4 linked regions of the Pelodiscus sinensis genome follow. The protein of the gene in region 3 interacts with the protein of the main gene of each other region in a pairwise test. Links are inferred from orthologs where the notes say so. Each region holds a gene or a part of one and is shown on either strand. Other genes may lie near its edges.

What was found.
Region 1: the proteins of DISC1 (region 3) and SPTAN1 interact in binary tests that used the Homo sapiens proteins (3 or more experiments, as listed by UniProt). The link is inferred for Pelodiscus sinensis from reciprocal best matches to the Homo sapiens genes DISC1 and SPTAN1.
Region 2: the proteins of DISC1 (region 3) and RANBP9 interact in binary tests that used the Homo sapiens proteins (3 or more experiments, as listed by UniProt). The link is inferred for Pelodiscus sinensis from reciprocal best matches to the Homo sapiens genes DISC1 and RANBP9.
Region 4: the proteins of DISC1 (region 3) and YWHAZ interact in binary tests that used the Homo sapiens proteins (3 or more experiments, as listed by UniProt). The link is inferred for Pelodiscus sinensis from reciprocal best matches to the Homo sapiens genes DISC1 and YWHAZ.

What each region holds. Positions count from the first base shown.
Region 1 is NC_134732.1:11,491,148-11,498,680, forward strand, and holds the start of SPTAN1 (spectrin alpha chain, non-erythrocytic 1), read left to right. Parts: upstream 1-4,520; 5' UTR 4,521-4,594; intron 4,595-7,533. Other genes in the region: mRNA export factor GLE1, read left to right, coding at 47-115. UniProt on the Homo sapiens protein: Fodrin, which seems to be involved in secretion, interacts with calmodulin in a calcium-dependent manner and is thus candidate for the calcium-dependent movement of the cytoskeleton at the membrane.
Region 2 is NC_134712.1:106,033,831-106,041,861, reverse strand, and holds the start of RANBP9 (ran-binding protein 9), read left to right. Parts: upstream 1-5,005; 5' UTR 5,006-5,352; coding exon 5,353-5,773; intron 5,774-8,031. UniProt on the Homo sapiens protein: May act as scaffolding protein, and as adapter protein to couple membrane receptors to intracellular signaling pathways. Acts as a mediator of cell spreading and actin cytoskeleton rearrangement.
Region 3 is NC_134713.1:124,055,527-124,063,186, forward strand, and holds the start of DISC1 (disrupted in schizophrenia 1 protein), read left to right. Parts: upstream 1-4,483; 5' UTR 4,484-4,568; coding exon 4,569-4,623; intron 4,624-4,679; exon of another isoform or gene 4,680-4,899; intron 4,900-7,660. UniProt on the Homo sapiens protein: Involved in the regulation of multiple aspects of embryonic and adult neurogenesis. Required for neural progenitor proliferation in the ventrical/subventrical zone during embryonic brain development and in the adult dentate gyrus of the hippocampus.
Region 4 is NC_134712.1:35,252,999-35,260,968, forward strand, and holds the start of YWHAZ (14-3-3 protein zeta/delta), read left to right. Parts: upstream 1-4,949; 5' UTR 4,950-5,044; coding exon 5,045-5,070; intron 5,071-5,476; exon of another isoform or gene 5,477-5,610; intron 5,611-7,400; coding exon 7,401-7,704; intron 7,705-7,970.

The sequences.
Region 1 (7,533 bases), on a different chromosome or scaffold from region 3:
ACATTGGTTCTAAATGACTTTTTTGTTTTGTTTTTGTTTTTCTTAGAAATGTTTGCAGCGGAAGGAAATTCCTTTACCAAAGGGTTCTCTGCCTTCTTCCTTCTGGAGGTCATAAATCCCATTTTCATCTTCACAGGCATTCAGAAATTTTCTGATCTGGCTTCCTGTTACATTCAGGGACAAGAATACATAGAAATGTAAACCCTACCTTTGTATTTATATATGGACACTCTGGATATTTTCAACTGAAACATTTTTTTACCTATCTTTCAACATATTTTATGTTGAATAGAAATTGGAGCTTCAGTAACTTTTCTCCTCTAATTTACTTTGCATATTATTTCATGCCATTCTGTTTGCATTTGGTTAGCTTTATGGACTCTATTGTGTATTATGGAATGTGAGAGACTCCTTCATGCCTTGAACAAATACAGTGAATCTGTCATATATAAACTAGTCTAAATACTCCATTATACTTCAGAGTTGATTAACATTAAGCAGTGGCTTTAAGGCAGAAATTTTGTTCTGATCAGTCTGTCAGTTTTTACATGAAATTGCCAATAGAAATACCTCAGTACCTTAGTTATATTAAGGTCTAAATTTAAGAAATCCTTCTGTAAAACTTGTGTATAAGTATTTTAAAGTTATTGTTTGTATTAAAGGCATTAGAGTCCATGTGAAAATTCATTTTGTATCTGACTGCCCTAAAGTCCAAAGAAGCAGCAGATGTGTTAATGAGGCTGATTTGACATCTGTCACATGCAACTTTGTTCTTAGAGATAGCAATGATCTCCATCTTTCCTCAGGGAGGGCCTTAAAATCAACAGCTCTTTCATTTTAACTTAGAAATTCTGATTTCTGCTAATGATGCAACATTCCTTATTTATATGCGTTAAACTTGGTTTTACACCTATATAGACAATATAATGGCTTCTGAAGAATAGTTCACTGTTTTTTGTTTCTTGTTTTTTTTAATGTGTATAATATTTTTACTATGCATTTCATGAAACTAGAAGGAACTCTGCACCCATTGTCCACCATATGAAATAAAGCTTTTTTTGTCTGTAAAAAAACCCAAAGGTGAAAGAGCACATAACAGCTTTGTGTCTTCATCAGTAATAATATTGTGCTATTATATGAAGAAAATAGAAGACACTATCCCCTTGGCTTATCTAAAAATGAACTGAACAATGGTATCGACCTATGTAGGAAAAAAAAGCCTTTAATTTGGACTGACATGGATTGTATTAGTTTTACTACAGTTTGTGTATGGAAGTACTGAAATAATTTCATAGTAAGAGTGTAATGGTGAATTATCGTAAGAATGGTTCATTCTAGATTCTAATTGAAAAGGATGTGAAGTTTAAAACTTTTTTTTAACCTAAAGCTGCTGCAGTTTACTTTTCTCTGCTGGTGCCTGTGATGGTGCCAAGTAAGTTTCTGGGAATCCCTAATAGATGACTACCAATAATGCGGTTTTGGGTGGTCAAGCTGATGTTATTTTTGACAGCTGGGGGAGTGCAAGTACGTCACTTGAGAGGCTATTGAAGAGGTAGCGATTATGTGCTATATGTTAATATTTTCCCCATTTCTAGTGGACAGGTCTCTATATTGTAATTGGATAGATAATTGACACTCTCTGACAGGAAGAGATTTAATATTAAATTATATGGCTAACCAGAGGGTGTCTTATTCAGAAATAGGGTGGGACAATGTGGAAACATGTCTATCATTGCACATAGTATAGCATTTCAGGTTTTGATCCAGAATCTTCCTCCACCTGCCCTCATTGCACTGCTCATGTGCTTCAACTGCACACTGGAGGGTCATATCTAGTATTGAGGAGCTAATTCATTTTGCATATTTATTTGATATTGGACCTCTTTGCTGAGTATTGACAGCCTTGTAATGAGAGCTGAACTGAGCTGGATTCCAAATCGCTGGACTGGACACCAACAGACTCATTTTTCGTAGGCCACTTAACAGCCATCATATGGTAGCCACTTGCTTGCTGTTGTCTTAGGCTCTGTTTGAATTAGGTACTAGAATTAACTATCACTCACTGTTATAGATTTCCCACAAACCAACCAGACTCTCTCTTTTTCCCCTCTCCCTTTGTATATTTGAAGACCCTTTAATTCAGAAATAGTTCAATAGTTCAGGTAAAAGTTGTTCTAACAAAATGAACAGGATTTTACATTGTCATATGTTACTGCATTTTTTTCACTGAGACCTCCAAAAATGTCTTGAATGAAGAGCAAGTTCTGAGAGAGAGGAAAACAAGTAAAATCTCATTACGTGATCTGTATGTATTTGGGAAATGACCACTGAAGCAAAGATTTTCACAAAACACTGCTACAAACACTGCTCTACAAAACACTACTACAAACAATACTTAAAGCAAGATTTTGGGCATATAAGATGATCTACTGACAAAACTTATACTACAGTGTTTAATATATATCTATATAGCTTAAATTTTATATCTTGAACTTTCCCAGGAAATGCATGGGGAAAATTCCTAGATAAAAGAAGAAAACTATTTTTTTAAAGTTTGATTGCTTGGAGTTGGTAATACTGATAGCTGTTCTAGATATAATGTTGTTAAAAGGATATAGGAGGAAATTGTCAAAAGTGCAAAGAGCAATAAGGTACTCAAGATCTAGTGCCTTGTAAAATTTCTTCCACTGTTCCAATTTATTTAGTGTAGCATCTATTCTTTACAATGCAATTAAATACATTTCTCTTCATTCATTTTTACTATCTAATGCTTACTCTTATGGCCATCTTGGATAATGTTTCTGTTTAATACTGAAAATATTGAATATTTTGGTTTAATATTATAGATTTTTATTGTATGGATCATGTTTTATGACAATATGCAAGGCAGAAAGCTTTGTATATTTTTAGTTATTTGGGGATATTGATGACGGTGCATGCTTTTATAAATATCATAAGGATGTTGAGATTTTCTGCCTTAGGTATAAAAAGGCTTTTGCAATGGATTGCCATGATTTTTGAAACTATATTTAAATGCAGCAATAAATGTATTTTTAAAAATGTTTCCACTTTATGTAATTAGCATAATCAAAATGTAACCCATACTTTAGGCACTACTAGAGACAATTATGAGCTACCCCCAAAAAGGTGGTAGCTCATTGGATCTCGTGATGTCTAAGGTAAGTTTCTGTTGCAACTGCTTTTACTGTTTGACAATTTGAGTGTTGGCCATTTTGCCCTAGTCCAGGATATTTAGAGATCATCTCAATGCAAAATGTAATGGCATGTATTTACATAATTCCAAATGCATGTAAAGGATTTGTTTTAAGTACATATACTGCATGTTCATTTAAAATACGGTGGAAATGGGAAATCTCAGACGTGAAATACTGTTGTACATTGAGGACTTAATTGGATTTAAATTGCTGTGACTCATATTTCCTCTGTTGCAGTCCTATAGGTATTGATGCAATGTCAGTAGAAGATTTTTGTTTTAGCTTAATTGCTTTAACAACCTTCACAGGAGTTGAAAGAAAATGTATGTTTGTGTTTTTAATAAAGAACAAAACCTCAAAACTCTGATCCCATATATTAACTGACTTACTGGAGCTATCTAGCTAAAAATAACAGAGAACAACATAGTTTACAGGGTATAATTACAGCATCAAATGTTTCTATTAAAATGAGACTTTTTTCAATTGTTGCTCTGTGTACCAGCTTTATATAAAAAGAAAAACCTCTCAGCTATGCAAATGCTCAATATTTTGAAACGGATCCTTTTTACCTTGCATAGGAGTCTAAAATGTAGACAGTTTGTATCTTTAACAGTAATGCAAATTGAAGGTGCCACTGCACCTTTTAGTTGTATTATAAAAATCTAAACTTTGCTTCATGTTCATTTTTATTGTAAATTAAAAGTTTTTATGTAAACATTCTGCTTTTTTTTGTTCAACTTTACAAGTGTGTGCTACAGGCAGGAACCTGAAAGTGAGGGACTAAGAGCATGAAAATAAACATTCCCCTGATGGAAAAAATGAATGCACCTTTTCAATTATCTTTTGTTTTAAATCTTTCCTTATAAAGTAAGCGACTTCAGTAGTCTCCGCTCAAATAATACTCGGATTTTGAGGGGATGCCATTCAATGGGAGGCCTTACAATCGTGTGAGATCGCTCTGTCTGTGCTGCAGGGAACGCGGGCTAGAAACTGAGTTTGTGGGAAGTCCAAACCGCCTGTTTGAGCAGCCCAGGCACCGCCCGCAGCCACTGCAGCTTTCCCCTGCGCCCAGCAGAACAGCCTCCGCAAACCTCTCCCAGCCTTTCGGAGCCTTTCGGATTTCTCCGTACTGCGGGTGGCGTCTTCGGCTTCAGTCGGCTATTTCCGTGCGCAGGTTCTGAAAGCCGTTGCCTCAGCGGGGTGGGGCCCTCGCTCTTCGGTTGAGTCCGGAGCTATTCGAGTAGTTCCGTAGCTAGAGACCCGTTCTGCGGGGTTGACGTCATATCCGGGCCGCTCCTCTATAAAGGCTGGAGCTGGGCGGCGCGCGGGGAGTCTGTCGGGAGGAGAACTGTGGGCCGTGGACTCTTCCGATAGACTTGGTGAGGTCGGAGCGCGGGGCTGGTTCTCTCTTCGACGGTGCGAGGGCTGGGCGGGCTGCTCGAAGGCGAGCTCGGCTGGGTTCTCCCACGGTTCCCCGGGTCCTTTAGCCTGCGGAAATGTAGCGCGCCCCTCCCGGTGGGTTTTACGGGCGTTGCGGGCGCAGCCCCGTTACCCCGGCTTCCCTGAGGCTCGCTTTAGGGCGGCCGAAGGTTGGGTGGGTAGCGGTGCTGGTTCCTTCTGTGGATGCGGGAGCTCATCTGGGAAAGCGATGGTGCCTCGCGACACCGCCCTGCCTGCCTTCTCGCTTCCCCGGGGCTCGCCCCCGGCAGGCGCGGGGGATCCGTAGTGATACTCGGCTTCCCCGTGAGGGATTTAGCGCTTTGATAGTCTCTTCCCCTCTTCTCCCAGGCTCGCTGCTTGACACCCCAGTGAACCTAGTCTCTGCAGAGAGACGCTCTTTATTCTCTCCCCCTGCCGTCTTTCTGGGCTCGCTTGAGTATAGGCGAGCTCAGGGTGGAGTAGCAATGCAGGGAGCGGTTTGCGTTTCTGTTGCTCTTCCCTGATGGGCGAGGGAGGTTGTTTGGCTGGAAGACCAGAGGATTCTTGTGTGGGAAAGAGAGCGAGGCGGATCCGCCCTGTGTTGCTCTCAGCCGCAGTAGCAGGAATTTCATTCACTGCCCTAAGGAGGGAATAACCACGGTGATAAATAGCAGTGCCAGCAAATCTCCCCTCACTCCCAAAAAAAGAGTAAGGGAGCTATGCTTCCCCCCCGAAGCAATCGTCTCAGCCTAATTACTGCCCCCCCTTTTTTGAAGAAAAATCTGGAGAGAAAAATTGAACACAGGCTGTGAATGTCTCGAATGACCCTGTCAATGGGTTCATTTCAGAGCAATGGCTTCCCTAAGCATTCACAAACCCATCCACTGTCCAAGGTCAGGAGACACAGAAAAGTCAATGAGAGATTCTGTATTTCTAGGTGGTGGCTGGAGAATTTATTGACCAAGATAAATATGTATTTTTAAATAATCTTGGTCTTTACTATATGAGGCAAGTTTTAATTGCTTGATTGAAGTGCACACAGGAAAATCCTTCATCCTAACTGGAAGAGGCTTTTTAAAAGCCTTACAATTAATCTCCTAAAATGATTGTCCCCTTCCAAATGTGTGACTTTGCAAGACTTGAGATGCCTGACATAATGGGGCCTGGAGGGAGGAAGATCATGTCTCTCTTTACAATCAGATAAATCAGGATTTTGCTTTTCTCACCTTGTTCCTGCAATTACGGAACATAACATATTTCTGATAAATCAAGAGTATGTCAGCCATGTTTGTTCTGTTTTATGCATAGTAAAAGAAATACATGTTGGTACTAATGTAATCGTGTTAATATTTAAAATCATCTTTATTTGGTATTTCAAATGTCCATGTGTATGCAGCAGAAATGTTACAGTAACTTTACTCTCCAGTCAGGATTCTTTAATTAAATCATTCACTGAAAAATTGTATCTTAAAATATACATGGTTAGTGAGCAACTTGTCACTCGGTTTTAAGTAGACTCGGGAAGACAGTTGTGTTGATGTGACAAATGGTATGCAGGAAAAAACCTCCCTGGACAGTCTCCTGCATTTTTATGGGATTAACAAATCAGGCTTGCTGTGAAATTTGTATTGAGCTCACAGGGTATTTATAAAATGTGTTTGGAAAAGAATGAAAAAAATGATTAAAAACTAGGAGGCTTTGTAAGTGGAGCCACTGGACTGTGTAAAATCATTGAACTAATAAGAGGTTCAGTAGTGCTCAGAATGGGGTAATTTAATTCCATTTCTGTTGTAAGAGAAATCTTACCTTTGGAAAGGTCAAACCAAGTTTCAACAATAAAAAAAGAGATAGGTGTGCCTCTATGATCTTCATAGTAGCTGAAATGAACAAACACATTTTATTTTACCTTTAAATTTGGTATTAACCCCATCCAACATTAAATCTTGTTTACCATCTGTCCCGATGCGCAAGCAAGGTAAGAACAGTCTCAGTCTTTTCAGACGGTTGCACCTCTGGGTGTTGCTCATATTTGCAAGTTGTCAATTTTAAAACTATCCCTTTCATCGCTTCATGAAAATAATTTTAAAATTCTTTATTGCCTTAATTTCACCTGTCAGACCTTTGTATACTATTCATTTATCATATATTTTTGGATAAAATATGTCTTATTCTTGGGATGTGAATTGCTTGCTTTCTCGCTCACCAACCTAAGGCAAGTAATTTTAAGATGACTTTTTTTCCCCTGATACAGTAGTTTTTGTCTCCCTCCCCCTAACGTGTTCCTGGACCGGTCACAAGAATAATGGAGTGGAGCATATTGCAGATGTCTTTTGAGGAAGGCTGTCAAGTGCAGTACTGCACCATGGGCTGTTGCTGACCATAGATCAAAACAAAGTGACAATCTGACTTCTTACTACTGTAATGGATTTGCCCTAAACGATGATAATGCTGTGCTAGATATGCACTTGCTTCAGAACACACAGAGGCACATAACTGCAGTTGTCCATATATAGGAACATGGATTGCAGTATACCAATGGAAAATGCAAAGCAGAGGATGCAGGGAACTGAACAGATTAAAATTCAGTGTATCAGCCATACTTACTAATTCACTTGTTCCTTGAACAATCATCCCTCCCCCCAAAATAGTTTCCGTCACGTATTTTGTTTACTCGCACATATTTTACATGGGATGTGAATTTAAGTATTCTGGAGGAGATTTTATATATAAAGCTTTCTCTTTAATCATGTTGTTTTCTGAGACTGTATTTAAAATCACCCAGTCTGATGAATTTGTGTGTGGAAGTGTAGATTACCAACTGAGATTACTTTCTTTTTTGCATTATTTTCCTTTAATTTTGGATATGGGAAATTGTGTGCATCCTAAGTCAATTCTCAAT
Region 2 (8,031 bases), on a different chromosome or scaffold from region 3:
GTAGAGTATAAAAGAGAAACGGGCTGATAATTTAGACTTTCAAAGGGTCTCTGACAGGATGGCTCATCAAGAGGCTACTTTAGAAGCTAAGTAATCAAGGAACAAGAGGCAAAGTTCTGTCATGGAAAAAAAAATCAAGCTGGTAGATAGAAAAAAAACTCTAAATGCTTTGTAGCTGTAACTTAATCACTTCTTCCCCTGTTTCTCTCTTGCCAACTGAAATTGGTTCAATAAAAGATATTCTAATGGCAATGAGTTCCATAGTCTAATTACACACTGAGTGTAATAATATTTCCTTTTATTCATTTTGAATGTACAGCCTGTTAATGCCTGTCCCTTTGTTCCTCTATTGTGGGTGAGTGAGTAGTGACATGGCAAAAGTTGCTGATGATCCAAAGTTATTTAGATTAGTCAAGACCAGCAGGAACTGAGAATTTCAGAAAGGTATAAAAAAGCAAGTTGCATGGACAACATGATGACAAAGGATATTCAATGTCAATAACTGAAAAGTACTAGATAGTGGAAGAAAAATGTAGACTGTTTAGTTAATTTAGAACCTCATATAGCGTATATCAACTCAGGAAGGGGACTTGGCCATCATTGTGGACATCTTAGGGGAGATAATCAATATGCTGTTGAAGTAAAACACCAAACAAGATGTTAGGATACATAGGGAATGAGACAGACAATATTATAATGCCTTAATAGTGTGACCTCACCTGGAATACTGTGTGTATTGCTGGTCACTCCATACCAAAGAGGATATGAGAAGAATGAGAACCTGGCAATTGATCTTGTTGCAAGAAGGATGACAAGAATGATTAGGGAGCAAAGTGGCTTAGACGATATCTTTTACTGGACCAACATCTGTTGGTGAGAAAGTCAAGATTTTGAGAAGTAGTCCCAGTAAAAGATATTACCTCACCTATCTTGTTTCTCTAATAATCCTGGGATTGATACAGCTGCAACACCACTGCATACAACAATGATTAGAAATATGGAAAAACTCACGTGCGAAGACAGATTGAAAAGACTGGGATTATTTACCTTAGAAAGGAGATGAATAAGAGTGGAGAGAATAAAAGTATATAGAATAATGAATGGGCGCAAAAAGGCAGAGCAGGCACTTCTGCTCTCCCGATCTCATAGTACAGGAACAAAGAGACAGGCATTAAAAGGCTACCTATTTAAAATAAATAAAAGGAAATACTATTGCACACAACATGCAACTAGACTATGGAATTCAATGCCACAGGAAGTTGCTGAGTTGCCAGAAAATCAGCAAGATTCAAAATAAGGATGTTAAGGAACAGGTGTTTGCTAAGTGTGGAGTCAATACAATTGGATACACGATTAGTCGATAAGGGGAGGCATTCTCTGTGACCACTGCACCTCTACATTTTAAAGGTAATAAGAGCTTGGCGGCTCTTACTACATTTAAAATGCAGAGGCACAGTGGTCCTGCACCCATATGAGCGGGAACTGCTCAGTCCCAGTTCATGCCGGGCCTGGCAGCCCCTCTTTGTGGTGCCTGGAGCTGGGCACAAACAGGGACTGATGCTGATGCAGCCCCTCCCCACAGCCAGCCTGGCTGCTGTGAACAGGCATTGCTCTGTAGCAGCAGTTCCTGTTTGCAGAGAGGCCAGAGCAGCCTCCTTTGCCTCCCATCCCGAGAGGCAGCACTGGGCTCTGCCCTCCACTTCCTGCCTCTCATACCAAGGCAATGGGGAGGGAGAGTGAGTAGTCGAGTACTCCACTTGAACCGCCATTGTGACATGGCTGTGAAAAGGCTAATACGGTCTTGGGATGTATTAGGCGAGGTATTTCCAGTAGGGATAAGGAGGTGTTAAGTGCCATTATACAAGGCATTGGTGAGACCCCATTTGGAATACAGTGTGCAGTTCTGGTCTCCCATGTTTAAGAAGGATGAATTCAAACTGGAACAGGTACAAAGAAGGGCCACTAGGTTGATCCGAGGAATGGAAAACCTGTCTTATGAAAGGAGACTCAAGGAGCTTGGCTTGTTTACCTTAACCAAAAGAAGGCTGAGGGGTGACATGATTGCTCTCTTTAAATATATTAGAGGGATCAATACTAGGGAGGGAGAGGAATTATTTAAGCTTAATACCAATGTGGACGCAAGAACAAATGGATATAAACTGGCTAGTAGGAAGTTTAGACTTGAGATTAGACGAAGGTTTCTAACCATTAGAGGAGTGAGGTTCTGGAACGGCCTTCCAAGGGAAGTAGTGGGGGCAAAAGATCGATCTGGTTTCAAGATTAAACTAGATGGGTTTATGAAGGGGATGGTTTGATGAGATAACATGATCTTGGGAACTAATTGACCGTTCATTATTAGTGGGAAATAGGTCAATGGAGGGATGATAGGAGTTACTTTAGAGAACTTTCTTGGTGTCTGGCTGATGAGTCTTGCCCATATGCTCAGGGTTTAGCTGATCGCCATATTTGGGGTTGGGAAGGAATTTTCGTCCAGGGTAGATTGGCAGAGGCCCTGGAGGTTTTTCGCCTTCCTCTGTAGCATGGGGTACAGATCACAGCTGAAAGATTCTCTGCATCTTGGGGTCTTCAAAGTATTTGAAGGCTTCAATATCTGAGATATAGGTGTGAGGATTATTCTAGGAGGGGTGGGTGAGATTCTGTGGCCTGCACTGTGCAGGGGGTCAGACTAAATGATCATAATAGTCCCTTCTGACCTTAAAGTCTATGAGTACTCCACTTGACTATTGGATACGTTTATGTTTATCGTAGTCGAGTAGTTGATTACTCGCTTACATCCCTAATTCAAAAAGGGTCTACGACAGTTGTAAGACCAACGTGAATACTCAGAATTAAAACAGTTATTGCTAAAATATATGTATATATAATAAGAATGGTCGATCCCCGGATATTAAAGAGAAAAGCTGGGTGATGTAATCTTTTTTTTGGATTACATTTTAGTGGTGAGACACACAAGGATTTGATTTTCACAGACTTCTTCAAGAAGAGCACGACAGCTAAATATAACCTTGAACAGATAGAATATGTGCTAACTACTTATAACAGTGGTTCTCAACCTGTGGCTTATGGGCTGCTTACGGCCCAGTATGGGCTGCTTGCGGCCCAATCAGCACACTACTGTAGCCCACTGATAGAGCCCAGGGGATAACTGAGAAGCCTGGTGCCAGTGGGAAGCAATGCCAGGAAGCGGTGAGTGCAGGGAGGCCCCACCCTGCTGCCAGCAGCAGACTCCTGTCACGTTGCTTGGGGGCAGGAGGAGGAGCTTGGGGGCAGTGGTGGAGCAGGGATGGGAAGAGGTGGGGCAGGAGCAGAGCCTGGGATGGGCCTTGGAGAAAGGAGTGGAATGGGGGCAGGGCACCCACCCCAAAGGACAGCCCTGCCTGTTGACATTCTCTGGATCATACAGCTAGTTATATATATTATGTGGATTGCAGCCCACATAACACAGAGCTGTATGTTCAGCTCACCTTGGTAAATAAGCTGAGAACCACTGAGTTATGCTAAATTAGGGGACCATTCAAGGTGAAATGGTATGTTAACATCCCTGTAGTCAGAGGGGAAAAATATGGGCTAGCTGGTTACAGCATGTTGTAATAAACCATAATCCAGTGTCTTTAGTCAGATCTTCATTTTTTAGTGTGGACCAAAGTTATGAGTTTAAGCTCCCAGGCCCATCTTTTGAAAATGTTATGTTGTACATTTACTTTGAAGATGAGGACTGATGATGAGTCAGATACAGAGGGTATGTTTACACTACCCCGCTAGTTCGAACTAGCAGGGTAATGTAGGCATACCGCACTTGCAAATGAAGCCCGGGATTTGAATTTCCCGGGCTTCATTTGCATAAGCGGGGAGCCGCCATTTTTAAATCCCCGCTTGCTTGAACCCCGTGTAGCGCGGCTGATTTGAAGTGGTTTCCATTATATACAGGATGTACAGTATAGTTCTCTCAGCAACCTCACTATAAAAACTGTTCCAGTCCCACTGCACGTAAAGTAAGCACAGATCTCTGAGTAGCTGTATTAGACTGAAACTAAAAAAACAATGGTCCTGTAGCACCTTAGAGCCTAACCAAAAAAAATATACATATTATCATAAGCTTTCATGAGCATAACCCACTTCTTCAGATGTTCCTTGTAAACTCTATAGATTGTCAGGAAAAAATTAATCTAAGAGGTATCATTCCTTTAAGATCAAATATGTTAAACAACAGATGCCCAGCTCCCTCCACAGAACTGTTTATCCTTTGCAAAGCACAAGCAGGGGCGGTCCATCCATATAGGCGAACTAGGCGGTCACCTAGGTCACCAAGTTCAATGGGGCACCAAATGGTGGCAGAATATCATTGAGGGGTTTGGAGATGGGGGGTGCTGATTGCATGGTTTGCCTAGGGCACCAGCTGCTGGCAGCTAATTTAGGGCCGCCCCTGAGCACAAGGCTCTTTGCCTAAAAGCAATAAACCCAGTCTATAAAAGAAGATTATTGCGCATCAACACCTGAGGCAAGTGTGATTGTATTTACTGCATGTGAAGGGTGCTGGCTACCACAGGTACAGCAGGGCAGCTCCCTCCAAGAGGGCACCACCAGCCAGGTCTGCAGAGATTTCTTCATCCCCACCCTTTTGATTTAGGTGTGAGTGGGCCAGGAGATACCTCCTGTTTGCTGGCACTGACATGGGTGTGAGTGCAGACACAGGTGACCCATGGTAGCACTCCGGAGGTGCACCGCCCCCCATGGCCCTACTAAAATTGTAATTAGTAGATGGGATGCTGCCATGGGCGATCGCCCTGCACCGCAAGCACTAGCCGCCCCTGGCTGCAGACAGTACCCCTTCGCCTGGGACCCTGCTCAGTCCTCCGGGCCAAGGCCAGAGGGCCCGGGAAAACGGACGAGCCCCACCGCGGAGCAGCGCCCAGCTCCCTTCACGCCTGCTCGCGTGCCGCCGCCCTCGCGCCCTGCGACTGGCGGAAGCCCCGCCCCTTGCTCCTCCTCGCGCCGCCGCGGGGAGCCGCTCAGCTGATCCGGGAGGACGCTCCAGCGCCGCGGCAGTGTCTGGCGCCGGCCTGGGGACCAGCCGCGGCGTCTCGCGCTCTGAGCCTCCTTCAGCCAGTCCAGCGCCGCGGCCCGAGCTCGAGACCCCCCCCCCCCCTCCTTCCCCAGCGCGCGCGCGCGGCCCCCCTCGCCCTGGGTCTGTAACCGCCGCCTGCGGTGGTTCCGGGCTGCCCGTCTAGCCCCCCCTCCCCCCACCGCTTCGCTCCGCAGTGCCCGGGCCTGCCCGCCGCGCCCGCCCCGGAGACCCGCCGCGCGCCGCCGTAGTAGCTGGCAGAGGCCGGGATGTCCGGGCAGCAGCAGCAGCAGCTTCCGTTGACGGCGGCTCCCCAGGCCCCGGGGATCGCCGCCCCCGCCGCTGGCGCCGGCCCCGCTCCGGTCCCGGTCCCGGCCCCGGCGGCCGCGCTGCTGCTCCACCCGCCGCCTCCCCCGCCACCGGCTACCGCGGCGCCGCCGCCTCCCCCGCCTCCGCCCGTCGCTGGGCCCCTGCCCGCCATGGGCCTGCCCGCGGGGAGCAGCGCCCCGGCCGCCTTCCCGCACGGCGACCCGGCCCTCAACGAGCAGGAGAAGGAGCTGAAGCGGCGGCTGAAGCGGCTCTACCCGGCCGTGGACGAGCAGGAAACGCCGCTGCCCCGCTCCTGGAGCCCGAAGGACAAATTCAGCTACATCGGCCTCTCGCAGAACAACCTGCGGGTGCACTACAAAGGTGAGCGCCCGGCCCGGACACGGGCCCGGCCCACCGAGGGGGGCGCCCCCTCCCGCGTGGCCCCAGGGCTCGGCCCCACGGGGGAGGGAACCCCCGCTCCTGGACCCAGGGCCTTCCTCCATGGAGCGGGGAGCCCGGCCACGGCTCTGTGTATCGACGCGCACATTCTGGAGGGAGGGGGGCATGTTTACATGCAGGCCACCAGGGACCTCTTGCCCAGCCCCCTGCGCGCCTGGCTTCTCACCTCAGTGCCCCTTCTCCATGAGGCTAGTCCCCTAGTGGGTCCCCTTTTCACCTGGAAATCTCTCTTGGAAAGGGCAGCAGCCTGATCCGGTGTGTGTGTTGGGGGGGAGGGAGAGACATATCGGGAAATATCTTTGTGGAATCTCCTAAACAGTTTACATGATGGGCGTGATGATCCGGATTCCTCTTTTTTCTCTTACCCCGAAGTATAAGCCTATGGGAAAGCTCACCAGATCTTGTCTCCTTTCCCACTCTGGATTTTGGGCTGATGGGCTATAAATTAGTAGCCTTCCTCAGCTTGTCAATTCTGCTATCAAATGAGAGTTTGAGGGCAAGCAGGAGAATAAAGTAGGATCAGCATGGTGTCATGTGTCTGTCTACAAAAAATATGCTTTTTTATTTAGAAGTGAGAACAAGGGCTATAGGGAGTTATAAGATCAGTACATGTAAAACTACCAAACACGGAAATGGCAGGGAGGGGAAGCCACCGAGAAAATACTTCTTGGTCTGTAGAAAATGAAACGTGTATGAAATAATATAATTTAAAGTAGCCCCTAATAATAGTCCCTGGGTAAATACTATATGTAATGTAGAGCATGCTTTAGGAAATGTTCAAAATTAATTTAAAATGTAGGAGTGACCTAATCTCATACTCTGTGCTCAGGTTTCTCAGAGATCAACTTACAATATTGTAAGGCTTTTATTTCAGAAGAAAAGATATCCAAATCATATACACTCATGTAAATCTACCAGAGATGACAATAAGGTACTTTAACTGGTGATAGTTGTGAAAAATATTATAAAAGCTAGTAACTTGAGTTTACCCTGACTTGGAAAAAAAATTCTGTCATTCCAGGCCCAAATCCTATGTAAAAGTGCTTCAGATTCAAAACAGTTTCTGATTGGCAATAAAGGGAGGTCAGATTGCAGTCAAAATGAGTATAGAGGGGAAGGAGAATAACCCTGAAATTCAAGTGAAGTCTTGAAAAACATGTTATGGTTGATTCAAATGGGAGGAAAATGGCACACAAAACATACAACATTCATGACTGCCATGAAAGGTGAGGTGTATTCTGTAAAATCTACCACAGGCAGACACTAATCTATTGTTAAAAACAAAATATTCATTTTAAGTAACACAAAGTTTGAGGCAAACTTATGAAAGTCAGTACATTCAAATTTGATAAGCCTTATTGTAGGCTCTTCTTTGTATTTTATTTGGAAGACAACAAGAGTTAGTTAAAATTAACATTGTGTTTTTTATCTTTGAAGTTTCTGGCTTTTGTTTGGCTTTGTATGACTTTAAATATTTTAGGAGTATTTTGTATGTACTGGGATCTGGCTGCAATGAGGATTCTCTTACACTTGGCCAGGGTGGGGCTTTATGGATGGCTGGTCTTCCTATTGTATCTTTGTAAACTATTATTTAAAAACACACAGTATATAACAAACAGGTAGATATAGAATCTTTCCGGCCTTTTTTAATGTGAAAATATTGTTTTTCTTTTTCTGTTCCTCATCCTTTTCAGAATGTAATCATGTGTGTTTGAAATATCGATAGTTACCAAAGATATAAAGGGGTAGCTGGTTAATCGGTTACCCAGTAAGTTTTGCCTTACAAGCATGCTTACCAGGATAACTTGTTAACCAATGGGTGTCCTCGCTGGAGCAGCCCGGTGATGTGGCAGGCCCTGCACAGTCAGGCGGGATCAGCCCCTGACCACTGCTGTAGTGTGGTGGCCTTGCCCCCCGGTTTTAACTGGTTAACATTTTAAATAGGATTTTATATTTATATAATGGTTGCATGGTGACCACTGGGCACTTGGGAACTGTGGAGACAATTGTCATAAATGTACATTGACTAATTACTGTTAACCGTACCTGATTCAGAGGTGAAGAATGATCCCAGTAGGGATCACCAGACCAGTCCAGGAGAATGTGGAACAGAAATAGAGTGGGGTGAGGAGTAACTGTAAAACACATAGCCTATAGCAACTTCTCCTTCCAGAAAATGT
Region 3 (7,660 bases):
AGTTTTGCCATTGCCTTCATTGGAGTCAGAATTTTTCATCAAGTGCTCTGACTTTGAAAGAGATAAAGTTTTATACTCCTGCATCTTGGCAGGAGGTTGGACTAGATGACCTTGGCTCCCTTCTAAAGCTATGGTTCTATAATTATGTAATGAAGAACGTCTCTCATTCAAACCATATCACCAAACACTCTGCAGAGTCATTGTGAACATTTACAAAGCTGAATAATACACATGGCCAAATTTAATCTCATCTGCTCTGTCCATGATGTTTCCAAGGTTCTGTCATTAAGGTATCTAAGGTAAGTGCTGATAGCTTGGTGGGAATAAAATTAAGAAGTGTAAGAAAGGAAGAAAAGTGACATTTGCAGTTGTTTTGAAAGGAGAGGAAGGAGTTGATGAGACACAGAGCTACAGGAAACCTATTCCAGATGGCAGCAGGTGTAGAGGAGAGTATTCTTACAATGTTGTTAAGGTTGCATGAAGGTACTGTACAAAGGAGAGGTCAGTTCCTGACAAGCAGAGGAACAAGAAAGGGAGAGAGGGGCCCATGGTAGGGTTGAAAAATGAAGATGTCAGTTTTGAATTTGATTCTGTAATTAGTGGGGAGTTAGCAAAGTTGTTGGAAAATGAGAGTGGGATGGCCTTGCACAGCATATAGTGGTCACCATTAAAAAGGCAACATCTGCCAAAAATCACGCAAACTATCGGAACTGCTACAGTACTGTCTCCTCCAGGCTAAAATAAGAAATAACTGTGTGGCATCTGCTGGGAAATGTTGGCTTTTTAAAGGCATTCACTTTATGTGGGAATACAGCAACATTCCACACATGGATTAAAAACTGGGACATGAAGATATAGAGAACAATAGTAGAAGTGAGGGGTGATGAATATATTGATGAGGATTGTAGAAGATGCTGCATCCTAACTTTGGTGTACATGGATACTGTGGTGGTAGAGATGGTGATAGGAAAATATATAAACATGGGAGATATGAAAGAAAGCAGAATTCTGACTGAAGCCAATAGAAGATTAAGACAAAATCACAAGTTTACCTGGTCATAGTAAGCAATTAAAGGTATCAAAAGAAGTAAAGTTGAGTGCATCAGTGCAAAAGTGGTGATGAAGGTTTGAGATGGAAGAGAAGTTAACTAAGACCTGGTCTAGAATAGACCCAGAAGGTTGATTTAAGGTGTACAACTCCAGCTATGTAAATAATGTAGTGAGAGTAAACATACCTTAATCTGAGCTTGGTGCTGTCTTCAGAGTGGGAGGTTGATGGGCGCAAACGCTCTCATTGGCTTCCTTTACTCCTCGGGACTGCGAGGAGTACCAGTGCCAACCAGAGGCGCCCTTAGTGTTCGGTTTAGGCCAGAGATCAATCTTCTGGCATTTGATTTAGCTGGTCTAGTAAAGTACCTTAAGCCGACCTTCCTAGTCTAGTATAGACCTGGTATAAGAGAGAAAAGGTAAATAAAAAATAGTACAGAGATGGCACCTAGCCTTTTTGGGGAACTCAGAAGGTGGGCAGAGGGGGGTTTCTCAGGATAGATACTGGTGGCTGTAGTAAGATGGAAGAGAAAAAAAGATATCCTCAGAAAAGTGATGGCCTTAATACACAAATGAGGGCAGTTTCCCTGCTTTGGCCTGAGTGAAACTTGAAAAATACATTCCAAGTTCCTCAGAGACTGATGGTATGTGATAGCTGTGTATTAGAATGCACCTACAACAGTTAATGTTTCTGTTTCTGACATCCAAATCCAGACTGAAGAATTCAAACAGCACATATAAACAACCTTAATTGAAAGGATTCGTTCAAGCATATATACCAGATATAGTTAATCTAATTTGAAATAAATTAGAGAAGACCATGAGATACATAAAGAGGAACATAATTCTTAGTGAAGAATTAGTTAATGAAAATCATAAGCCACTGAGATGCATTCAGCACAATGATTGTTTCCAATATCATACACATAATTGTATGCATGCTTTCTTCAATGTGAAAAGGAAAAATTCTACAACAAGCAAAATACAGTCCCACAGAAGAACTCCTGAGTGTGCACAGAGACTACGCTACTGAAGTGTACCACTGTAGATTTAAATTTAAGAGCAAAACATTCTGCATGTAGAATACACATAGGCACTTCCCCAAATAAGGGATGGTATAAATTACCCAGTGCTTCCAGAAGTGTAAGGGTGGATGTTTACTACTACAGTTCTCTGTGTAGTACAGTGGATTGGCCCTGCATTCTGGTCCCTTTTTGCAGGCTGGTGTAAAGGGCTTGGGACTGTGGTTTTACCTCCTCTCTTCCCTCATTGGAGCATTGTGCACCACTAGGGAACTAAATACAGAGTAGCCCCAAGTCACTCTGAGTTCAGGGACTGAAAATTTGCCTGAATTTCATTTGGGCTAAAGGAATATGAATGAGGATAATCAGGGCCTCAGTGAACTGCAATAATTTCAGTGAACTACAAGCATTTTTACACTGTAAGACTGGCACACGTCCTCTTTTCAAAAGAGTTGAAAAATGCTCTTAATCTGCTATTTTGGCTAATTTTTCCATATCACACAAAGGCAGATATTTCTCTCTCTCTCTCAGGTTTATCTAACTTCTAAATAGGCTTAGCAGAATTCAATTTTTATTGTATAATTTCAAGAGATATTATGATAGATACTTATTTTAAGTATTTTTTATTTTTATTGATTTAAAATTTTCACACTTGTGGGAAATTATGGGGGTGTCAGACAATAATGATATAACGATAATAGATGTTGAGATTCAAAAAGTTAAAGTTTTCTAGTCAGTAAGCCATAATTTGTAAGCATCAAATACCAAAACATACGAAAATGTTTGCAAGCAGCAAACGTTGCCTATCTTGCACATTTCTATTATTTTTTATGGCAGTATTTTCCCTTGGTTTGTGTTTATACAATGAATTGACTTTTACAGACATTGACCGATAAAAATCTCATCCTTATATGCCTTCTCAAATCTGTATCAAACTCAGGACACTTGAACATAGTGCATAATAAATGGTGCTAACTTGGCTAAAACTAGTTAAAATGAATTAATTTAAAGGTGGAATCTGGAGTCTGAATCAGTCAGATATGTAGTGTACAATCTGAGTCCAAAATTAAAATAAATATCAGGAGATCTAAACACGACTACTTATCTAAATAAGAATAAACCTATGCATAAAAATTTGTATTTCCTTATTTGCAAGCTCTTTTGGGCAGGGAATTTTGTCTATGAAGTACCTGACAAACTGTGGGTGTTATATAAATAAATGTACCAATTATACAAAGATAAACCCAGCATTTCATTGCACAAATTACTATGAATTAGAATACTTGACTTTTGCAACTCTGTTTGGAAGTTGCAAACTGCATACGACTGACCCTAATGAGAATTTACCATTGAAGTAAAATCTCTTTAAAAATATTAGTTTTTGCATTTTATTTGATATGTATGTATATGTGATTTGAACAGATCTGTGGTTGTTGTGTGGATGTATGTCTTTTTGGATGTGTGACATGTATGTGTAATATTTGTGTGTGTTGTTTACATGGCACCTTCTTCATTACATAATCCTGATTAATTTCTAGCACTTTCCATCCTTTGTACCAAATGAGTGTCTTGTAGAAAAAACAGTATATGATCATATAACTAAATACCGTATACATGGGCAAGCTTAATTTTTGCATTTACTAGCTTTGAAGTACTCAGTAGCAACCTTAATGTTATTTTAGCATATACTTTTCGGATGTAATATACGTGTGATGTGCAAAGCTGTGTTGTATATGAGTGTGTAATATATATATATATGTGTGTGTGTGTAGTGTTGTCAACTCTTACAATTTTATTTGTGAGTTGTGTTACCATTTGTTTTCCTTGAAGACGGAGAAGCTGGAATTTATGCTTAAATAAAAAAATCTCTAGTTGTGGAGAAAAGTTTGAAAATATGCTCCAAGTGCACACTAAAGACTCAAAACCCAGAAAGCCAATAAAACCATATGAGACATACACACAGGGCTCAAAAACATAAAGCCAATAAAACCGTCTCTCTCTCACACCCACAACACTTTTTCTTAAAAAAATCATATTGAATCAAATCTTATGCTTTTTGAACTCTTGAGGCTGCATGTGAGTGTATATATGTGTATATGTGTGGGTGTGTAGTGTACATGTGGTGTAAACATGCAATGCATGGGATTGTATATGTGGAGTAAGATATATTCCTATATGTAGATCGATGGTGTGTATGTGTCAGGTGTGGATGCATATGGAAATGAGGTGGTGTGGGGTGCACGTGCTGGTGTGGGGAATATCGGCGGTGTGTGTGCATCTCTATCTGTGGGCCGTGTAGCTGTGATGAGGCAGTGAGAGGCGGGGGGCCGGCGGCTCTGGGAGCCCGTGAGGGGAGAAGGGTTTGGCTGCGTGTGCAGGGGGCCGGGCTGGGGCGTGGCTCGCGGAGACCGTTTGTCGCGGCCGGTAGGGCCAGGCGGGGGCGCTGCGGGGCCGCCTCTGGGCCTGGGGCCGGCGGCGGCAGCGAGTCCGCGGCGGAGGATGTGGTGCGGCGCCAGCGGCGAGAGGCGGCCCGGGCGCGCAGGGCTGAGCCCAGGTGAGCGCAGCCGCGAGCTCGGGGCGCGTTACCGGCCGGTGCCCGCCCGAGGGGCGAGCGCAGCAGCCCGGCCTCGGCCCCGCGCCGCCTTGGGAGCCGTTAGCTCGGGGGTGCCAGGCGCGGAGCCGGGGCGGGGCGGCGGCAGGCAGGGGCCGTGGGGCTGCGCTTGCACCCGGCAGCCAGGGCCGCGCTGTGCTCGGCGCTGTGCAAGCGGGGAGCCCCAAGGGACCGGATCAGCCTGGGGGCGCCCAGCCCCACGCTGGTTAGCGAGCCTGGGTGAGTGGCTGGGCAGGGTAGGGTCGGGGTGACTCGAGGGGCGGGTTGGCCGCTGCTTTTCAGCAGTCATGGAGATCAGGACTTTTTTTTTTAAAACTTGGCGTTTGTCCCCCTGTTCTTGCCTTGGAGGGGAAGGGGGATGAGGAATGTTTGAGCAAAAGCAAGTGGGACAAATATCCAGATTTTCCAAAACAAGTTGTGATGTCTATAATCAGCTGGGCAGAGTGGCCACACCAGGTGGTTCTGGTCTGATGAGCTACCTGGAGTCACTACTTACCCAGCATCCCGTTTTCAGTTTAGAAAAATATGGTGACCTTAGTTCTGGGTCCTTCTGCCAGGGCTGGATAGTGTCCATGAGGCTTCCATCTGGGAGGGCTCCTCTTGCTCTAATGTTCTTTTCTTCTTGAGCAGACTAGAGAAGCACTATCAACACCCTCAAATCCCTGCCCCCCAAACAAAACAAAAAAACCCCACCCAACCTAATAGAAACCAGATTGGATATTTTAGCTCAGCTGCTCATGGTAGATGGCTTTGATTTTAAGGGAAATTGTCCTCTGCTTAAATATGAACTATCCAAATAATTTTAAAAATATAAATATTAAAATAAATTATGTTCATTATATTCTTCTTTGTACAGTACTTGTAATGGCTTTTCTGCTAATCTGCCTATGAATCTGTTGCATTTCTAAAACAAATTTATCCATGAACTGTTTGTTCTCCCGCTGAGTGTTCTAAATAAAGAATACCTGGTCTTTACCATGTGTGGATCTCAAAACATAATGGCTGTGTCTAGACTGGCATGATTTTGCGGAAATACTTTTAACGGAAAAGTTTTTCCGTTAAAAGTATTTCCGCAAAAGAGCGTCTAGATTGGCACGGATGCTTTTGCGCAAAAAGTGCTTTTGCGCAAAAGCATCCGTGCCCAGTATAGACACGCTTTTGTGCAAGAAAGCTCCGATGGCCATTTTAGCGCAAAAAATTAAGATGACTGTATACACTGGCCCGCGCAAGAGGGCTTATCCCTGAGCGGGAGCGTCAAAGTGTTTGCGCAAGAAGCACTGAATTCTTACATTAGAATGTCAGTACTCTTGCGCAAATTCTCGTGGCCAGTGTACACAGGCAGCAAGTTTTTGCCAGTCTAGACGCACCCAATGGATATTACTGTATTAAACAATTTAAGCCTCAGTATTCTTGTGGGTTATTATTCCCATTGTGTGGATGGATCTTTAGTTTGTTTCACTATGTTCTGTGTAATCAGCTGGTCAGTTTCTCTGTTTGTTTGTATGAAAGTTAAGGAGAGAGCAATATTTTTCAAAGCAGGAAAAGATGCCATTGTAAAACAACAACAAATTGACAAGAGACTTCATAAACAGCATGCCTGCATCTAGACTGGCAAGTTTTTCCGCAAAAGCAGCTGCTTTTGTGGAAAAACTTGCCAGCTGTCTACACTGACCGCTTGAATTTCCGCAAGAACACTGATGATCTCATGTAAGATTGTCAGTGTTCTTGCAGAAATACTATGCTGCTCCTGTTCGAGCAAAAGCCCTCTTGTGCAAATGCTTTTGCACAAGAGGGCCAGTGTAAACAACATGGTATTGTTTTGCGCAAAAAAGCCCCGATCGCAAAAATGGCCCATAGTTATAGTCCTAACAATCCCAGGAGATTAGAGTTGGATATGAGAATCTTTTATTGAACCAACTTTTGTTGGAGAGAGAGTTGGCTTTTGAGCCACACTGAGCTCCTCTTCAGGTCTTCACACCAAAAGCTTCTCTTTGTCACCAAGAGAAGGGACTGGTGTAAGGTCAGAAATTGCCCTTGAATAATTAATATGCTGGTGTCCCTTTAAACATGAAGTAGCTTCTTCCCCCTTTTTTCTCCTGCAGCCCTAGTTCAGCTGCTCCTTCCTCTCATGTTGTAGATGAAATAAAATATTCGTGGTCAGCCTGCTGTTGAGCCTGATGATGGCCTACCAACTTCCAGCTGTGTTTGCCCCGCCAGTTAGCTCTGTGATACTTGAGTACACCTGTGGGAGTGCATATTGGCAAGCCTAGCTGTCTCCTATGGGAATGCAGTGGTTATGATCTTTCACAGGCCCCAAAATGACATGAAATTTTAGTAGGGCACCACTGTATTTGTTTTTATTGCTTTTGTTCAACCAGAAAGCCTGACAGTTTTGAAATATTATTACAAAATATACAATACAGAACTTATTATGTGTGTGGAAAAGTTTCCAGCACTCTTGGAAAAAATATTTTGGCTCTGCAATTAGAGGCCTACATTTTAAGCACAGTGATGTCAGTAGTTAAAATCCACAAATAAGGCAAGCAAACTTAAACTGCAGTAGAGATGGTAGCTTTTCTTTTTAAAGCCTTGCCTACATTAAAAAGTTTGATAAGTTTAAGACAAATGTCTTTTGATTTAAAGTACTAAAAACAAATGATGATCCTATGGGAGCAAGTGTCAGATTTTTACAGGTTTCTCCTTAGTTTAGTTTATGGGAACATGGTAACTACAGAACTGGAAAAACTATAAAGAGCAAACAAAGGTCAGAAAGGGCAACAGTAGTTAATTTCAGTGGTAAAAACTCCCAACCTTTCAAAGGCTATGTGCAATTTGAAACTTAGTTGGAATAAGGGATATAATAATGTATCCATTTAAACAGTTAACCAAGAAGCATGAATGTATCAGTGGTTACACATCAGCTCCCAGCCCTACTCCTAGGGGGCTGGCTGCCCCCACATGCTGCAGGCTTTGTATTAGA
Region 4 (7,970 bases), on a different chromosome or scaffold from region 3:
CATAAGACAAGCATAGACTGACAGGACCGCACAGTTTTGAAACTATGGGACGATCAGCAGTGACAGCAAAATTTTCACATGCATAAGGCTATTTTCATGGAAGTGTTCTCCCTAGCTCTAAAGCACAGCAATACCAAAATGACCCGCTCTGACAGTTAAGAAGCAAGTGGCATTAGTCCTATGGAAGCTTGCAGTGCTGAACAACTACCAGTCAGCTGGGAATCAATTAGGAGTGGGTAAATCTACAGTGGGGGCTGCTGTAATTCAAGTAGCCAAGGCAGTCATTACCCTTCGGCTACGAAGGACAGTGACTCTGAGAAACATTCAGGACACAGTAGAGGGCTTTGCCATGATGGGATTCCCTAACTGTGGAAGGGCAACAGATAAAACACACATCCCTAACTTGGCAACTGACCACCTTTCCACAGAAAATTCAAGGAGTACTTCTCGATGGTATTGCAGGTGCTGTTGGATCACAAGGGTTGTTTCACTGACATCTATGTGGGATGATCGAGAAAGGTGTGTGATGCACTCATCTTTAGGAACTCCTGTCTCTTCAGAAAGCTGCAGGATGGAACTTTTTTCCCAGACTGGAAAATTACCATTGGAGGAACTGAAATGCCAATTGTGATCCTTAGTGACTCAACCTACCGCTTGCTCAAGAAGCTGTACACAGGCAGTCTGGACCACACTAAAGAGCAGTTATAGGCTGAGCAAGTGTAGAATGGGGATAGAATGTGCACTTGGACTAGGGATGTTAAATATGGTTAATTAAGTAACCATGTAACCACTGAAAATCTTAGTGGTTATACCAGCGTTTCTCAAACCCAGGGGGGTCACAAGCAACTTGGGGGAGGGGGTCACAGGACATTCCATTTTTGGGGGGTTTTGGGATAGTCCGGTAAAAAAATGGAAAAAATACCAGACATGTGGAATGTCCAGTATTTTCTAGTTTTCTGGCTGGGCGCCCGACGGAAGCCTGGAGGAGGCGGGAGGAGTGGCTGGGAGGCAGGGCGCAATCAGCACTGAGAGCCTCTGGTTGCGTGTGACACCTTGGGGAGGAGGGGAAGCCCTGTACGTGTTCCTGAGCGCTGGTCAAGCGCGTTGTGGAACCTCAGCCAAACTCACTCGCGCTTTGCCGAGACTATGCGTGGGACGGGCAGCACCCTGGGATCTGCACGTGCCTGGGTCAGTCCTGCTCCCCGCCGGCAAATTCGCCCCCCCCCCCCCCGCCGTCCAGTTCTCCCCCACTTCTCCTCCCAATCTTCCCCGGCCAGCCCCGCTACCCCACCAGCCCTGCTTTCGGGGGCCAGTTCTCCCCTCCTCCTCCCGATGTCCCCCAGCCAGCCCCCAACCCCCCACCAGCCCTGCTTCCCGCTGGCCGGTTCCCCCGCGATCTCCCCTGGCCAGCCCCAATGACCCCCCAACTCCCCTGGCCAGCCCTGCTGCCCCCGCCAGCCCTACTTCCAGTGGCCAGTTCTCCCCTCCTCCTCCTGATGTTCCCCAGCCAGCCTCACTGCACCCAACCCTCCACCCCACCAGCCCTGCTTTCCGCCGGCCTGTTCCCCCACACAGCCCTGCTGCCCCCAACTCCCCGTTTGCTTGTGTAGCAGTGAGGATGGGGGGGTCACACAAATTCACTTAGAATTTTAGGGGGTCGTGATATTACAAAGTTTGAGAACCCCTGGGTTACACGATTACATGCTGTGGGCTCTGCAGTATACTGCAGAGCTTGCAGCGCAGCCAGTTCCCCGGGAGCAGGGGCGGCAGTCAGCACACACTGGGAGCCGGCTCCTAGCTGCTGGACCCACTCCAGGGGAACCAGCTACACTGCAGGCTCTGTAGTATAAGCTTTATACTCTGGGGGAGCCAGCTCCCAGCATATATCTCCTCTTGCCTGCCAGCACTGCTCCCAGGGAGCTGGCTGCTGCCCTGTGCTGCTGCCTCTGTCCGTGCACTGCCGCTCCCCCAGCGGAGTAGGAAGGGGTGGGGGGAGAAAGGGCCGTGCACAGAGTGCACCAGCAGAGCCCAAGCGCTCCCTGCTCTGCAGAGCTCCAGTTGGGCTCTGCGTGGTCTCTGCCGGGACTCCGGCAGCAGCTCCCAGGAGTGGTTCATCAGCTCCAACCAGCGCCCCTCCCCCTCCGCCAACAGCGGCAGCCGCCTGTGGATGATGGAGGCCGGCTGGAGGCTGCACACGGCAGAGGCAGTCCCATGGTGGGAGCGAAGGGCGTGCCGGACAGCAGCGTGTGCTGCAGGGGAGCTTGGCACTCTGGACACTGCGCACCATCCTGGGTTCCCACGCAAAGCAACAAGGGAGCCGCTTACGTGCTGAGTGGTGCTGGGGCATTACTGCTGCACTGCACTAGTACTAGGTGTCTGCGAGGGAGCCCCAGAGAGGGTGGGAAATGGCAGTTCTGTTTGTAGCTGGATCCCAACAGGTTTTCTGGGACATTTGCCACCTTTATTGGGACACCAGGACAGAACCCTTAAATCTGGGTCTGTCCTGGAAAAAAAGGGCTGTATGGTTACCGTATGCATAACACTTCTGAAAGTAAGGGAGGGAAATTTCATGTCAGATTGGGAGGTGGGACTTGAGGCAACTTGCCTAGCCACTAATTGTGAGAAACCAGACATCAGGGCAATAAGGTGAACACAGCAAGGGACACTGATAATCAGAGAGGTTTTGAAAAACAGGTTTGTGAATGACCAGACAGTGATATGGCAATCTTGTATGTTACTTTATAGGAGATGCCCCCTGCATTAAGTGTGCTGGCCTGTAAACCCTGTGACCGGCGCAATCTGCCCTATTCCCCCATGCAACAAAAGCAATAAAGATACTGTTGTAGAGAAACTTGTATTTAAGGATCACAAGAAAGCAGAGACTGAAAAGGAATTCCGAGTGAGAGCTGGGGCAAGGGGAGAGAAATCACTGAAGAGGAAATTCCAGTCTTCTGTTCTGGAAGACCCAGACTGTCCATTTGCCTCCTTTGTCTTTTGATACGCTGCCTGAGTTTCTTTATTTCCATGTGGCACTGCTGGGCATCCCTGGTGTATCCTTTTTCCACCATGCCCTGTGTAATCTTGCATTGATATCAGCATTTCTTTTTTTGGTTCATAGTTCTACCTACATAGATTCATCTTCCCCATTTTTTCAGGGATTTTCCTTCATACTCAGAGATGAGCTAAATTGAAAGTACTGGCCCTAGGGGCTACACGGGGGCACGGTGGGACACCTTCCAGAGGCCAAGAACATTGACTTTTAAAGCACTGTATCTGCACTACCCTACAGTTAAACTTAAAAAACAAAAGCTGATTGGGTAGCACTTTATAGACTAACAAAACATCGAATTTAACTTTGCTTCTTGCAAAAAGCAAGAGTACTGCAATCAACTTTAACAGCCCTTCAAGTCAGGGGAATGGGGTTGGTGATGTGGACTCTTTGTTTAGCAAATCAACTTAATGCAGCTAAGTTTGACCTAAACTGGTAGTGTAGTCAGAGTTCAGTGCAGCTTCACCTTCACCTTCAAGTCCGTATTCTATGGAGAGCAGGGAGGTGTTGTAGGGTGATCTCCATGCAGCCAGGGGCATTTGCTTTGCACTGCCATGCTGGTGCCTGCACATTTATTGACAACAATGAGATTTGCATATTATAGGCAGAAACTTTTTTAGTGGAGAATTTTTAATTTTTGGAGCAGAATTCCCTGGGGAGCATCATAATCTTTGACATGTTTGAAGACTGTAATCATGTCCCTCCCCAATAGTCTTTTCTCTGATTAAACATACCCAATTCTTTCAACTTTTCCTCTTAGTCCACGGAGGGCCCCAGTGTGCAGGGTGGGGGGACAAAACATTTTCTGGCAAGGTGATCTGGCTGTCGATCATCTGATCGGGGAACTGCAGCCTGACCATTTTTAGATCATGTGGCAATTTTCTTTCTGAGGAAGCCTTCCTCCCAGAAGTCCCGCTCACGGCTCAAAGCCCTTTCTGCTCTCAAACCCTTCCCTACACTTCCTCCCGAAAGCCCAGCCCGGCTAGCCCAGCAGAGCGCCGACCCCAGAAAGGGAGACGCACGAGAGACTCCAGCAAGGCCGCTAGGCTGGCCTCTGCTATTGCTGTGGATTGGCTGTGTCGGGCGCTCAGCTCCTCCCGCGATGGGAGCAGCCTGCAACTCAGACCGATGGATGCCGGCTTTGTGCTGCAGAGCTCGGCTCCCCGAAGCGCCCCTCCGAGCCGCGCGCTTCCTCAGACGGCTCTGCAACGTGGGGCGGCACATGGGAGCCCGGGCTCCGGAAGGCCGCCGCAGTCGGGGCTGTCTGAACTGAGAATCGGCCCCGCCCCTAGCGAGCAAGGCTGGTCTCCCAGCCCAGGGCGGGCCCGGCCGGCAAGAGGGAGAAGGCGGCAGAGTGGCAGGGCGGTATGGGGGATGGGAGGCTCGGTGCGCGGCCTCTCCCAGCCCCGCCGCCAGGGGAGCGGCGCGCGGGCCGCGAAGGCGCCTCACTCACTCACGCGCTGCAGTCAGAGGCAGAGGCGCGCGCGCCCGCGGCAGGGGCTGTGGTGGCCGGGCTAGGCGTGTCCCCCGCGGTGGTGCGCGCGCCGACGCCAGCGGCGGTTGGCGCGGCCCCCGCTCTGTGGGGCGGAGGGGAAGGCGCGGGCGCAGGCGCTCGCTCCCTCGCGGTTGCCATGGCCCCGTTTGACGTCACGGGCAGTGTGGTGCCCGTGCGTTGCGGCGCAGTGATTGGCGGAGACCCCGTGTGCGGCGCTGGAGAGAGGCTGCAGCGGAGAGAGCAGCAGGGCTAGAGGTACAGTCCGCGCCGGCTACTCGCCCAGAGACACTCGCGCCGCCGCTTCCTCCTTACGCAGGTAACCGGGCCCACGGCAGCGCTAGTCCCACGGGGCGCCCGCGAGGGCGGAAGGAGCTGGCGGGGCAGCGGAGGCCCCCTCCCCCCGCGGTCCTTCCGCAGGCAGCAGGGCGGCTCCCCGCGCCGCGCTCCCGAGGGCAGGGCGCCGGGGAGCCGGCCGCCGGGCAACTGTGCCGCCGCTGCGGATGTGGCCTCGGCCGCCGCTGCACAGGTGAGGCCGGATCCGCCCCGCCCTGTCCCGGCCACTAGGCGGCTGCCCGGGGAGTGGGAAGCGGAGCCGTTGGCGAGGCGGGGGCAGCAGCGTGTGACCCGGGGCAGGGTCAGCGGGGGCTGCTGCTCTCGCCGGGCCCTGGCAGGTGAGGCTGCGGGGGGTGGCTCGCCGGGCCGGGGAGGCAGCGGGCGCTTGGGGAAGGCAGGCGCGACCCTCCCCACCTGGGCGCGCGGGGCCCTGCGGGCAGGGCGCGGGCGGCTCGCTGGCTGGGTGTGGCCTCCCGCCGGCCGAGCGGGGTTCCTGGGGCCCCTCCTGCGGTGGCCCCGCCCCGGATCCCGGCGCTGGTCACTGGGGGCCCCGGCCGCGGGGAGTGTAATGGGCGCTGTGCCGGGTTCCCGAGTGGCCGCGGCAGCTCCTGCAGGGCGGTGACTGCGCTGGCGCCGTGGGGCGGGCTCCTCGCCCCCGTGGCTGCGGCTTTCCCTTCCGTCGCTGTGTTGGGGCGGGGGCTCGGCGGCCGCCTCCCCACGGCGCTGGGCTGAGGTGAGCGGGGTTAGCGCGTTAGCCCGGTGGGCTGGGCTCTGGCATGGATCCGCCATGACAAAGAGCCCGGCGGAGGCGCTGCCTGTCTCGGAGCCGGGCGGATGCGGCGGCGGCCGCAGCGCGGGAGGGGCGGCGGGAGGAGTCTGGCCCGGTCGTCCCTCCTCGCCCACGCCGTGTCGATTTCGTGTTGTAGCCGCCCAGTTCCCCGCCGCCCGCGCTCCGTGTAGCCGTGCCCACTGCAAGCGCGGCCCTGCGCTGCGGCGAGCTCAACAGCACCATTTTATGCTGTCAAGACACGATCTAGTGTATAGAGAAATCGACTGGCATTTTCCCATCCTCGCGGTGCTTCATTAAAGTAGCTTTTCCTCTGTTAAAGTGCAGCAGTGCTGGCTAGGATCATGGCGTGCTAGTCTAGTGGCGTTGGCTAGCCAATAACCACAGTTTGATAAACTGGCTTTCAGATAAGATTTTAACTATTTGCCTGTCTAATCTATTCTGGGTGGTAACAGCTGTAGGTGAAACCATTCTGTAAAATGGCTTCTTAGCAGTGTTTGCAGTATGGTCAAAGGCCTTAAACCACCCTGGCAAATATTACAGAGAAATGGGAGCAACTAGTGTTGGTTAAAACAGCTACTGAAACGTGCTATAAATAACCTTGAGATGATCTGATCTCTGAAAAAGATCCAAATTTATTTCATTGAGTTTAAATACAAGAAATTCTATTCCAGGTAGTCTTATGTGAAATATCACTTGTATAAGCCAAATCAAAACTGTTGGGGTCAATGTTATGGCAATTGGAATATGTAACATAAAAACACAGTATGCTTAGGTGAAATGATTTTTCACTTTTTAGCCTCTGCAGTTAGTATACTAATGAACCATATAGCTAGTGCATATTGTAGGGCTCAAAATAATTATCAGGAGCCAAAAATTCATGAAGTGTGTGTGTGTGGGGGGGGGGAAGATTCTGACCAGTTAGAGATACAAAAGGGTGTGCTTTAATCAAGTTAGGTTAGTATGATTGAAAGGGCTTGTTAAGATGCAGTCCTGAAGGGCTACAACACACCCAACTAACATTTGCATCTCAATGATGGTTTTCACTCAAATTGAGCAATTTAACCCATCAAACCATCACTAGAGAGTTAGAAGAGCAATGCCCAGGTGAGAAGCTTAGAGTCTCCCATTCTAGCATGGGTGTATAATTAGGGCCTGAATTGTAATATTAACCTCTGGGTGTCTGAAAGTTTAAAAGCAGACTTCTTCAGGGAGTAGAGTTCTCTGCTACTACTTCAGTCTGGAGGGTTTTTTTTTAATTTCTATTTTTCATTTTTTGGGGTGTTTTTTCTCTGAACTGCTTAAGGGTAAGTTACTGATGCTCTCTCAATTTGTTCTCTAATCATCAGAATAATGCAACTGAAGAAGTTAATGATGCTGCTTGGAAGTCTGAAGAGAATTCTGAGCAGTGGCAAGAGTTGTCACTACATACTTGAACAGCACAGAAATGGTGCCCCTTAACATTCTGAATGTGGTGATTTTTTTTTTAACAAATGATTATCAGTACTAATTAAATAAAGGTTTGAATTTGTAGAAATATCATAGCTTGAACACTTCCAAGTCACTAGTTTTATATATATTCCAGCATTCAGGGCCAATTTAGAGTGCCTTAATTGCATAATGACAAGCTAGAATATTGCATATTTTTTTAAAAAAAGACTTGTTTTATATATATGAGGCTATTTTGCCCTTGATGAATATTGTTTGAATAATGCCTTCGTGTTTTCCCTCTTCAGCAAAATCAGCATGGATAAAAATGAGCTGGTGCAAAAGGCCAAACTGGCTGAGCAGGCTGAGAGATATGATGACATGGCAGGCTGCATGAAGTCTGTGACTGAGCAAGGAGCTGAGTTGTCCAATGAGGAGAGGAATCTTCTCTCTGTTGCTTACAAAAATGTCGTAGGAGCCCGTAGGTCATCTTGGAGAGTCGTCTCAAGTATTGAACAAAAGACGGAAGGTGCTGAGAAAAAACAGCAGATGGCCAGAGAATACAGAGAGAAAATTGAGACAGAGCTAAGAGATATCTGCAATGATGTGCTGGTGAGAGATAATAAAACTGTATTTAATTCATGTTTTCTTAATATTAGGGGATAAATAGTTTTGACCCTGTTCAGCTATTTTTCAGTCCCTTGCTAAAAACTGAGGCATTCCATGCAAGGCATCCAAATCTTGCAAATACCACCACTTCTGAAAAACAAAGTTGGATAACTGGATGGCGCCTCATCCTTAAATATATAATTCCAAAACTTGTATTAAAGTTCTCATGGGCATCAACTCTTAACATATTTGCAAATATGTTTAAACTC